Mus musculus: one gene and its partners. The protein of the gene in region 1 interacts with the protein of each later gene in a pairwise test. Links are inferred from orthologs where the notes say so. Each region holds a gene or a part of one and is shown in the gene's direction. Other genes may lie near its edges.

What was found.
Region 2: the proteins of Cep63 (region 1) and Ssxb9 interact in binary tests that used the Homo sapiens proteins (3 or more experiments, as listed by UniProt). The two-hybrid records come from large-scale screens. The link is inferred for Mus musculus from reciprocal best matches to the Homo sapiens genes CEP63 and SSX3.
Region 3: the proteins of Cep63 (region 1) and Snrnp70 interact in binary tests that used the Homo sapiens proteins (3 or more experiments, as listed by UniProt). The link is inferred for Mus musculus from reciprocal best matches to the Homo sapiens genes CEP63 and SNRNP70.

Annotation. Positions count from the first base shown.
Region 1 is NC_000075.6:102,623,504-102,627,103, reverse strand, and holds the start of Cep63 (centrosomal protein of 63 kDa), read left to right. Parts: upstream 1-979; 5' UTR 980-1,072; coding exon of another isoform or gene 1,073-1,122; coding exon 1,123-1,200; intron 1,201-1,206; exon of another isoform or gene 1,207-3,417; coding exon of another isoform or gene 3,418-3,510; coding exon 3,511-3,548; intron 3,549-3,600. UniProt on the Homo sapiens protein: Required for normal spindle assembly.
Region 2 is NC_000086.7:8,365,730-8,369,678, forward strand, and holds the start of Ssxb9 (synovial sarcoma, X member B, breakpoint 9), read left to right. Parts: upstream 1-1,248; 5' UTR 1,249-1,372; intron 1,373-3,812; 5' UTR 3,813-3,825; coding exon 3,826-3,939; intron 3,940-3,949. UniProt on the Homo sapiens protein: Could act as a modulator of transcription.
Region 3 is NC_000073.6:45,392,943-45,396,446, reverse strand, and holds the start of Snrnp70 (U1 small nuclear ribonucleoprotein 70 kDa), read left to right. Parts: upstream 1-704; 5' UTR 705-938; intron 939-1,274; exon of another isoform or gene 1,275-1,354; intron 1,355-1,631; 5' UTR 1,632-1,641; coding exon 1,642-1,788; intron 1,789-3,504. UniProt on the Homo sapiens protein: Component of the spliceosomal U1 snRNP, which is essential for recognition of the pre-mRNA 5' splice-site and the subsequent assembly of the spliceosome. SNRNP70 binds to the loop I region of U1-snRNA.

The DNA of each region.
Region 1 (3,600 bases):
GTCTCCAGCGGTAATGTAAGGATACCCAGTCTTTCCACAAGTTCGCCTCAATACTTTGTAACATGACTCTCTTCTACATGCTTAGAAACTAGCACGCTTTTCACCCACCCCCGTCCCTCATCACTTATGCTTGGCCGTCCTTCCAAACACATCTATTTTCCTGGGTCAGGTGCTCGGGTGCTCACCCTTTACGTAAACAGAAAGTTCCCCCGCTCCGGATACCAGATAATATCAAACTCTCAGCTCTCAGATTGTTTCCTTTAGACCCCAGGCTGAGTGCAGTCCCAAGGGTCCATTCCTTCACCAGTCCCCTAGATCTCTGGGCACAATACGTGACAACAGGAGGAAAGCTTGTCACATTGCCCGGATATCTCTTTCTAGACATTAGATGCGTACGTCCTATGAGACATACACACCTTTCATGCACACAGCTTTGTAAATGTATTTCTAAGCTACGAGCACGGCGCCTACACTAAAATGGCCCTCGGAGGCCACCATCCTGGGACACTACAGTCACCCGCTGCAGCGACTTCCGGTTCGAGGGGTGGGAGGATACTACATGCGGAAGTGCAAGGGGGGAGGTCGAGCGTCGCCATGGGGGCTCCGTTCCACTCCGCACAGCGTGCAGTAAAGAAGTGGCTCTGAAGCTCGGTTGAAAGTACCGGCCCGCGCCTCTGGAAGCGGTAGACGCCGGAGTTCGAGGGCGAACGCTTGGCCACCCTCGGAAACCCGGGCCGCGGGCGCGAAAAACCCTTACCCACTGCGCGCGCGTCGGCTTCCTCCCGGCCCCGCCCTTCTTCTGGGTCACGTGACTCGCGGCGCTCTCAAGCCCCGGATGTGGGTGAGTCCAAGCGCTGCGGCAGGGGGCGGGACGGACAGCGATTTGTTGTGACTTGCGCGCATCCCCGGCCGGAGGAACGGCGGGCAGGCCCGGGGGCGCGCTCCGCCGGAGGCGCGCTCTGCCGGGGGCGCGCTCTGTAACCGACCGCATGCCCCAAAGACGGGCGAGCTGCGGCTAACTGTGGTGCGGTCTCGGCCCTGGCCACGGTGGTGCCGCTAGGCTCCAGGCCTCATGGCCCGCGGCCGCAGCTCGTTGCGGCCCACCTGCCGCGGGGCTTTCCAATGCCGGGTTGCGGCTGCCCGGTCGTCGCGCCCCTGGGTTCCTCCTCCTCCCTATGGGACTCTGGGCTGGCCGGCCAGGTGCTTCGGCCTGCGGGAGGGCGGGCTGCGGGCTGTGGGCTGCATGGCTCCCGGGAAGGGACCCGGCTGCTGCTGCTGCCGCCGGTGTAGGACCAGGCCTTAGCGTTAGCCGCCCAGCGGGAAGCCCGCAGGGTTCCTTGGTGATGTTAGTATGAGAGGTGCGGAAATGTGGCGGGAACCCCTGATGGCAGGGGAATTGCAGATGGCTTCACGCTTTCAAGTCAAGCATAGGAAACAAGATTGGTGGAGTGAAAGTTTGGAAAGGGGAATTCCACAACAGCGCTTTCACGCGGAGACACTTGACAGTGAATGGGCTTTTGTCCTTTACAAAATCGTGGAGTTAGTGCATTCTGATGTCAGACCTAGTTTTCATTTACAGACTGTAGACTTGTTGCCAAAAGTGCTCCCCATTCTCCCCAACTAGCGCTGGCTCTCCTTTGTAGCTATGATCTGGAACTTGCAGTGTAGACCAGGCTGGCCTCAAACTCAGAGATGGGCCTACCTATGTCTCCTAATTAAGGATCCGCGCCACCTCGCCTGGCTTTCTTGAGGCCAATTTAGAGTTTCAAAAATGTATTACTTTATTATAGCTCTTTGTACAACTCGAATATTTGTATTTTATATTTTGTATGTAAGTCAGAGATCAATGGCTATAGTTATCTTTAGCTTTTTACACTTTTTTTTTTTGTTTTGTTTTTCGAGACAGGGTTTCTCTGTGTAGCCCTGGCTGTTCTGGAACTCACTCTGTAGACCAGGCTGTCCTCGAACTCAGAAATCCGCCTGCCTCTGCCTCCCGAGTGCTGGGATTAAAGGCGTGCGCCACCACGCCCGGCTTTTACACTTATTCTTAAAGGCTGCAGCTTAACGATATGATGAAACGAATTATCTTATTTGGAATGCAGCGCCATTTTTAGGTTAATTTTTGTCCCGTGCTCTCTGTCTTTTACTGTGTCGTCCTCAGTGGTCAGTATAGTAAAGGAGGCTGCGAAACTAAAGAGGGTTAGAGACTTAAACCACAGACACATGTCCCTTTAAAATGTGTATATGCTGAAGTTTCAGAAACAATGGAGATATTGTTAATCATGCTGCTGCTGCTTCCTCCCGTGGAGCGGTAGGGACCGGTTACTTAGGCTTTCCTGTACTGTGTGGTGGCTGATGGTGACAGCATTAGTCCACACTGTCATAGCTTAAGGTGCTCCCCATGCCAAAGGCTAGAGTTGCTTTTTTAAGTTTTACAAAAACCACAGTACTATTTTTACATCAGTACAAATTTATAAAAAGCACACAGTGTCAGTGTCCGGTGAGTTCAGGTTCTTCAGCTATTCCATATGTGCTTGTAATACCAAAGTTGTAGACTTGTAGACCAAAGTCCTACAGAGAACTGTCAGCTGCATTCGGTTGCTAGGCCTTCAAAACCCTCTAATCAATAATCAAAACCCTCAATTTCTTTCTTTCATATATATACATATATATTATATACATGTATTATATGTGTATATATGATATTTTCTTTATTTACATTTCAAATGTTATCCCCTTTCCTAGTTTCCCCTCTGAAAATCCCCTATTTCTCCCCCCCCCCCAAGCAGGTTCTTACCTCCCGTTTCTTTATCACTCAGGTTTAGCTGGTTGTATATATTTTTGAATTTATGCCTCTACCTCTTCTATGACCTCTCCTTCACTGGCTAAATCTTGAACTACACTATCCAGTGTGGCAGTCATCAGCCAGCCCTGACATTTTAAATGAACTGTTTGGTTCCCCAGATGCATTAGCCACATTGGAAATGCCCAGCACACACAGGCTGCCTAGTGGCTATTGTCTGATTAATACTGATAAGATGTTTCCATAATTACAGAAAGTTCTGTTGCAATACAATGATCTTTTGAAATACAGTGTTAGATTCAGCCTTGATTTTTGATGGCAGGTACAAGAAAACTCAAAGGTATAGGTTTTATATTATAAAAATTATCTGTTGCGTTCATTGTCAGGGAGACTTGTAATGTCTGAGTCACCCCACTAGGGATGTTAGAATTAAGCTGTGTATGTCGGGGTTCCTGTGCTGTTTGCTCAGTTGAGCCACCATGAAATTGCCCAAGAGCCTTTGGTCAATAGGGAGCTCTTCATGGCTAATAGTGCCTGGGCCGATTACTGAGTGAGAGCCACCGTGGTGCTTTCTAGTGGCGTCATGTGCCCAGTGCTGCTTAGCTGGCACTCTTATGATGAACTTGCCTTCCGCAGCTGACTATCCTGAAGTACAGTTTGTACAGGAATGGCAAGCAAAATGCTTAACTCCGTTCCTTTCTTTTCAGACTACAGCAATGAATTGGTGGCCTAGCAACCTCCAAAGGTAACCCAAGGGCTCCACCTTAAAACAAACAGATAGACTTGAATGTGTTTAA
Region 2 (3,949 bases), on another chromosome or scaffold:
GTTTTTTGGTTTTTCGAGACAGGGTTTCTCTGTATAGCCCTGGCTGTCCTGGAACTAACTTGGTAGACCAGGCTGGCCTCGAACTCAGAAATCTGCCTGCCTCTGCCACCCGAGTGCTGGGATTAAAGGCATGCGCCACCACGCCAGCTTGGGCATTGAATTCTGAAGTATCTGTTTGTATATTTTTGGTCCAGATGTCCCGTCTATAGGAGAAACTGGAGTGCTGAAATTGCCTCCTATTATACAGTTTGTGTTTATCTGGAGTTTTTATTCCATTAATATGCTTTTATGAAATTGGGTGCACCAGAGTTTTGTGCATATTTGCTTAGTACTATAGTATTTTATTAATTGATTGATCCCTTGATTAAAATGAAGTAACTTTGTCTACAGTTACTGCTTCAGGCACTATATGGAAAAGGAGTGGGCACAGTGGACAGCCCTGACTTGTTTATGTTTTTAGAGGGACTGCTTCACAGTGTTCTCCATTTGGGATAATGCTGACTGTGGGCTGTGGGGAAAGCCATTCCTTTGTAATATGACTTAAAATTAATTTTTATAAATGATTAAGAAGAAAACATAAGGAGAATATGCAGTGAAAATCTTAATTCTGGTCCCAAGGTCCATTGAACATTGCCTTGCCCCAAGAAATGTGTCAGTCATTGTGAGCAGGGCATTATTGACAGAGCAGTCCTCAGAATGCAAAGTCTACATAGCATTAAGGGGCCAGTGGAGGCATAAAATATTTGAGTAGAGAAGCCTTCCTAAAAGAAGCACTTGGGATCCATTTAAAGAGCACCATAAACTCTAATCACATGCAGACTGTTTTGCTATTATTCATAAGAATATTGGTGGAAAACAAGCTCTTGGGTCTTTGGAGAAAGAGCACATATAGGAAGAGTTTCAACTCTAATGCTTTCCTTTAATAAATAATTGAAATGTTATGGGTTTATTGTAAAGAGATCCCAGGTTAGAATGACTAAGGAAGACAGAGGAGAAAATTTTGAAGTGGTTTGCCATATTTTTTTTGTAGAGAAACAACTGCCTAGTAGAGGTGTGTCTAGATATAATTGAAAGCCCAGGTATCCAGAGAAATGCACGTTTCAAGAGTCAAACATATCCAGGAGTAAGCAATGCCAGGGGGTGGGGATCATCATACTTTAGTGGGGATATTTAGTACATCCCTTTGGTGATGTACTTCCTGCCTTGAACACTGGGCTCCAACATTCTGTTCTTACCTCACTTCCCCCTCAGTTTCCTGAGGAATTCAAAGGGTTTGGCTGCCCTGGTTGCTGAGTCTCTAGCAACAGCTGAATCAAGGTGCATATTTGGGTCTCTTCTTGGATAAACACTTCTTTGTCCCTTCCTGTCTGAGGTAGGTTCTTCCTTAGGGATGTCCCAGAAAACTAAACCTTAAATGATAGAAAAGTTAGCCTGTATAGACCAACCTGTGCCTTTCTTGTGTCTCCAGCATTCCTCAGAATTCCTCCTTGGAAGTGTTCTTTGAGCTAAACCGTCACTGGGCAATTACTTATGAAACCAAGAAATTATAACCCTTTTATGTCTGACAGACTGTATGTCACTCTTTGTGAGGGAAGTAGTATACCTCTTAGCTTCACAAACTTTGAAACTTCCTATTTGCCTTGAGATTTCCTCCATCCTCAGTGACACCAAATGATCTCTGTCCGAGGGGCTACTTTAAAACTTCCTCTTGGATGAAGACACAGTCTTCAAGGTCCCAGAGACACCTTAATGTCTACTCACTAAAAGGTTTCTGAAGGATTTAGCTTGAGGATCCTGGTTAGTGTATCTTGAGATGTGCCAAGGTCTTTGACCTTCTGTGACAGTAGGTCCTGTAGATGTGGAGATTCTAGGTCTTTTATCTAAACTACCCTAGAAATAGCCCAGCAGGTCATACTCTACTTAACATGTACACCCCCTTTCAGCACAGCATAGCCATATAGCCATTTCCTAGGTCCCTGGAAACCATCAGTTGGGACAGGGGGACTATTAAATCTGTGGCAATCCTCTCACCAAGTATATATTGGACACACCACATCAAAATCTACACATGATGCAGTGCACTGTACTACAAAATGGTGATCTAAATTCCTTAAAAGGCAGGTACAGGAGAAGTGTTTGGGTTCATGGTTTCTCTGTTAACCTTAGCAACCTAGCTATATTCTGTCTTCAGGGGAAAAACGTAAGAGTAGGTAATGAAGTAGACACATGTATTTAAGTTTCAGCAGTTGCCCAGAACTGTCTTTTATTAAAAAGTTTATAGTGTCTATTACGTTTTACATCTATTTATTTACTCGTTTACTTACTCTAAGAATCCCTCCAATTGCAGTCTCCCTCTGTTCTCTTCCAAGTCCTCCCCCCACCTCCCTTCTTCCCCCATCCACTCCTCCTCTGTTTCTCTTCAGAAAAGGGCAGCCCTCCCATGGATATCAACCAGTCTTACCATATCAAGTTGCAGTAAGACTAGGCATATCCTCTGTTAAGGCTAGAGGTAACTCAGGAGGAAAGAGTCCCAAAGGCAGGTAACAGAATCACAGACAGCCCCTGCTCCTGCTGTTAGGAGTCCTACATGAAGTTCAAGCTCAACTGTTATATTTGCACAGGGCTTGACTCAATTCCAAGCACAGTCCCTGGATGGTGGTTCAGTCTCCATGAACCCCTATGGACCAAAGTTATTTGATTCTTAAGGTTTCTTCTAGTGTCCTTGAACCTTCTGGCTCCTACAGCCCTTCCTCCCCCTCTTTTCAGGATTCCCTAAGCTATGCCTAATGTTTGGCTGTGGGTCTGTGCATCTGTTTCCATTAGTGCTGGGTGAAGCCTCTCTGTGCCTATTATTTTTGTAATAAAATAAAAAGTCAAAGCATTTATTTACTAGGGAAGGTTAAATTCTGGAAATGTTAAGCAATCACCCAGAGCTGGAAGAGACTTCAGGAAAGGATCATGGGAGGCAACATATAGTAAAAGTATGATGGTTTAAGTCACACGTGTGTCTGCTTATCAAATATGGTTAATTCATCATATTTCTCTGTTTTCCTATTCATTTCCACATGAGTGAAGCTTTATGACGTCTCTCTTCTACTATTTTCTTTTTTGGCAAAACTAGGGAATTAATGTAAGGGCCACTCACATGTTACATAAGAATCCTACTACTAAGCTACAATTTAAATCCTGATTGAGTCTTTGAGACAGGATTTAATTATATATTACCCAGACTGGCCTAGATCATTCTTTATAGTTACTCAGACAGGCATTGAACATATGACCCTTCTACCTCAGCCTCCCAACTACCCTGTGTTACAGGCATAAGAAGGGAACTCTGGCTTTTCTTCCAAAAACAAATTCACTCTAGGTAACAACAAACTAGTCACTAATGGGTCTTGTAAAACACTAGGAGCTATTCCTAATCTCTGCTTGTATTTGGTGCTTGGTGTACCTTCTTCTTCTGAACTCCTCACCACCCATCTTCTAGGGACAACTGCTGCTTTCATATCTTCTATGAAATCAGTTTTCACTTTCCTTGCCTGAGTGAGAATATGTGCTTGCCCCATTCAATAAGTTTCTATTTCCTTTAATCTCAATGAACACTTCAGGGCAACTAATCAGGACAGACTCTCACTCTCAAAGACTCAGGATACCTTCATACATGTTTATGCATGTTCATAGAATCTAATTGATTCCTAACCACCAACTCTCCCATAGACCTAGTCAAGGATAGATGATCTCAGGGTGAAACGGTGTACAAGAAATATCAGCTACTGACTCTTACTGTGTATGTGCAACCCCTTCGTTCACAGGACATTTGGTTTTATGCTTGAAGAAGATAAGATTGTGTCTTTTCAAAATCACACTGACATGGAAACAGTGAGTTCCTGTGAAAAGGTCCCCATGGAAGTGCTTTATGAACCAAAGAATATCTGCAAGGTGAGGGGGC
Region 3 (3,504 bases), on another chromosome or scaffold:
CACTGTAGCTGTCCTCAGATACTCCAGAAGAGGGCATCAGATTTCGTTATGGATGGTTGTGAGCCACCATGTGGTTGCTGGCATTTGAACTCGGGACCTTCGGAAGAGCAGTCGGCGCTCTTAACCACTGAGCCAAAGAGATGACTATTTTATCATGAGCCAAACGGTGGCTAGCACATACAAAAATTTTGGGAAAGAGTTCTCTCTCTCTCTCTCTTTTTCCTCCCTGTGACAGGGTTTCTCTTTATAGCCCTGGCTGTCCGGGAACTCACTCTGTAGACCAGGCTGGCCTCGAACTCAGAAATCCGCCTGCCTCTGCCTCCTAAGTGCTGGGATAAAAGGCGTGCACAACCGCTACCCGGGCAAGAGTTTCCTGTCAAATCCAACGTAAACGCAAAGACCCTGTTCATGCAGGCACTTTTTGACAGGCTGCGGAAGGATATGCGACGTGGTGCATCACTTAGACGCATGCGCACAAGGTCCGGGAAGTGTAAGGAGAAAGGGCGGACCTTCCATAAGTGTCTCGCGGTCATAGGCGGTTAGCTAGAGCGCGAGGCTGAGACCGACCTAGGTCCGATCACGCATGCGCAGTACGACAGCCGGGCCGCGGATGTTTAGCCATTTCAGAATGAGTACAGTTTTGGCGCATGCGCAGTGCCCCTGGTAAGGCCTGGACTGCTGTGAGGGTGTCGTTTGACTCGTACGGCGCATGCGCATTGCGAAAGGCGGAGGGATTCGAGTCGTCTCCACTCCCAGTTCTGGTCGCGAGCTGAGGCCGCGCGGGTTGTGAGGAGAGGTCTGGTTTGCGCGCGCTGCGCGGACCACCGAAGCTACCTGACGCGGGCGCCGCCGAAGTGGAAGTCGGAGCGGGAGTTTTTGTTTGTGAAGGGCGGCCGCGAGGCCTGAGGCTAACGTCAGGCTGAGGAGAGCGCCGCGCGGTGAGTGAGTGGGTGAATGAGAGGCCTTAACGGGGAGTGGGGCCGCTACCCACAAGCCCTTGCGGGGTTCCCGAACCCTTTCCCCGCTGCTGTGGCCCGTTTCCCGGGTTAGTGCCTTTGACTTCTCCCTCTGCGTCCCCCATCCTTTACCCAGAGTTCTCTGGGCACTCCAGCCTTCTTTCCCTCAGGATCCCCCTCCCCCAATCTCCTGCGGTCCCCTACCCACAGGCCCTTGCGGTTTGTGTGTTGCCTTTTTTTCTCGCCTTTTTTTTTTTTTTTTTTTTTGGTCGCATCCTGGACCTCTACCCATAATTCCTTTCGTCTCTCGGCTCCTAGATATTTTACGCAGAGGCCCCTGGCTTCCTGGATATTATCCTTATGGCCTCCCTTGAAATCCCTACTTCATAATCTTAAAGGTATGAAGCGAGCAACCTCTAGAGCGCGAGGCTTCGACCTGGGTCCCACACCTCCTACTCCTTTTCCCCTTTGTTTTCTGTTACCAGCCTTAAGTTTTTCAGCTCTTACCAAGAGCTTTTCTTCAAGCAGATGTTGGTCACTCCCTTGACCAGGATAGCAGCATCCGTCTCCAAATCTCACACCTGTTTGTTTGTTTGTTTGTTTGTTTTGGGTGAAGGGGGCCTAAAAGAAAGCAGTGCTAAGTAAAGTATGCTAACATAACGTTTCTGGTCTTAGATTTGGCAAGATGACACAGTTTCTGCCTCCCAACCTTCTGGCCCTTTTTGCACCCCGAGATCCCATCCCATACCTGCCACCCCTGGAAAAGCTGCCACATGAAAAACACCATAACCAACCTTACTGTGGCATTGCACCATACATCCGAGAGTTTGAGGTGAGCATGTTGGGAGGGAGGGTTTAGCTCTGGATGGGGCAGGCTACCCTGAGGCATTCGGCTTCAAAACAGTTTTAGTTGTGTGGTTCACACATGTGGCTTTTACGTTTTCTGATCATGTTTTGTGCTTTTGTGTGCATTTTAATTTTTTTAATTATACTTTTGTATATGTGGGTGTATGTGCAAATCTGTGAATGTCGGAGGACAGCTTGAAAGAGGCCATTCTCTCCATCTTGTGGGTCCAAGAGATGAAGCCTAGGTTGTCAGGCGTGGCTGCAAGAGCCTTAGCCTGCAGAACCATAGTGCTAACCTCTTTTCGTTGAGTTTTGAGATACGGTTTTGCTGTGTAGCTTAGATCTTATGGCAGTCCTTTCTCAGTCATGTAAATGCTGCATGTAATGGGTGTGTGCTTCCAGGAGCGGCTCATTTCCTTGTAGGGTTAAGAATATCTTTTGTATGGATGTGGTAGTCCCTAGCCCAAGTGATTGGCCAAATTGGTTACATTGGCAATTGTGTCTCCACCCTGACTCCTAAGTCCCCAGACAGGGTTTCTCTGTGTAGCCCTGGCTGTTCTGGAACTCACTCTGTAGACCAGGCTGGCCTCAAACTCAAGAGATCTGCTTGCCTTTGCCTCTCCAGGGTTAGGTGATCCACCTCTGTCGATTTTGTTTTGTTTGTGGGTTGTTGTTGTTTTGACTCTTTGGCTGGGGGGTGGGGGGAATACATTCTTTCATGGTCTTGTAGATTTCTCCTTGTCACTAAGGCTAAACTTGAACTCTTGATGCTTACTGTACTCAAAGAGTTAGAATTATAAGTATCTGCCACTAACCCAGAAAACATAATGTTTAACGCATTGGTTAGGTTGGCCTTTAGCAAGAGGTAGCAGTAAGATGAAACCAGTAGAGAGCTGAGTCACAGAATTTATGTTAAAGGGTTTGGAATAAGGCAGTAAATATCAATGCTTGTCAATGTAGTTACTGTTTTTTTGTCTTTAAGAGGACAAGGTTGCGTAGACAATATGATTTAGCAGTAAAAGGTGATTGCTGCCAAGAAATCCGAGTTCTGTTCCTAGAATCCACAATATGGAAGGAGAGGGTATGCTCTAGCATGCTGTCCTCTGATCTCTATGTGCACAGTGATACGCACATACATCCTTAGCTAAATAAACAAACAGATAAATAAATAATGTAAAAGTAAGGTTATTTTTAGAAGAGGATAGTGTTTACTAGTGCTGAACACTATAGCATCTTGCAGTGCTCACAGCTGGGAGCTAGGGGTTTGGCTCTACTTGCTGAGTACATATGACTTAATCTGAGTCACTTGAGCTTCTTGGAGTCAGTTCTTTTATGCAGAAAGTTTGTCATGCCCACCTTCAGAGCAAACCTAAGGAATACTGCCATATAACCACAAGTCTTAGGAGGAACATTCTGATATTGAGTAGGAAAAGCAGAATTTACTAGATAACAGAAAGGTGATTCTTTAGTAATATTTGTCTGCCTACCTTGGTAAACCTCTACTTGAGAAATGTTATTATACAATAAATATTTAATTTAATGGATATAGCTCAGGGGTACCCTTTTTGCAGGTCATGTGCCAATTAGCATTTAATGATAGCCTGGAGAGGTATCATTTTATGACTTGCTATGTCTTTGCAGATTGTCTTGCTTTGGAGGTCTGCCCTGTCCACCATTATTTCAGGCATATTTCTAGCTTTTG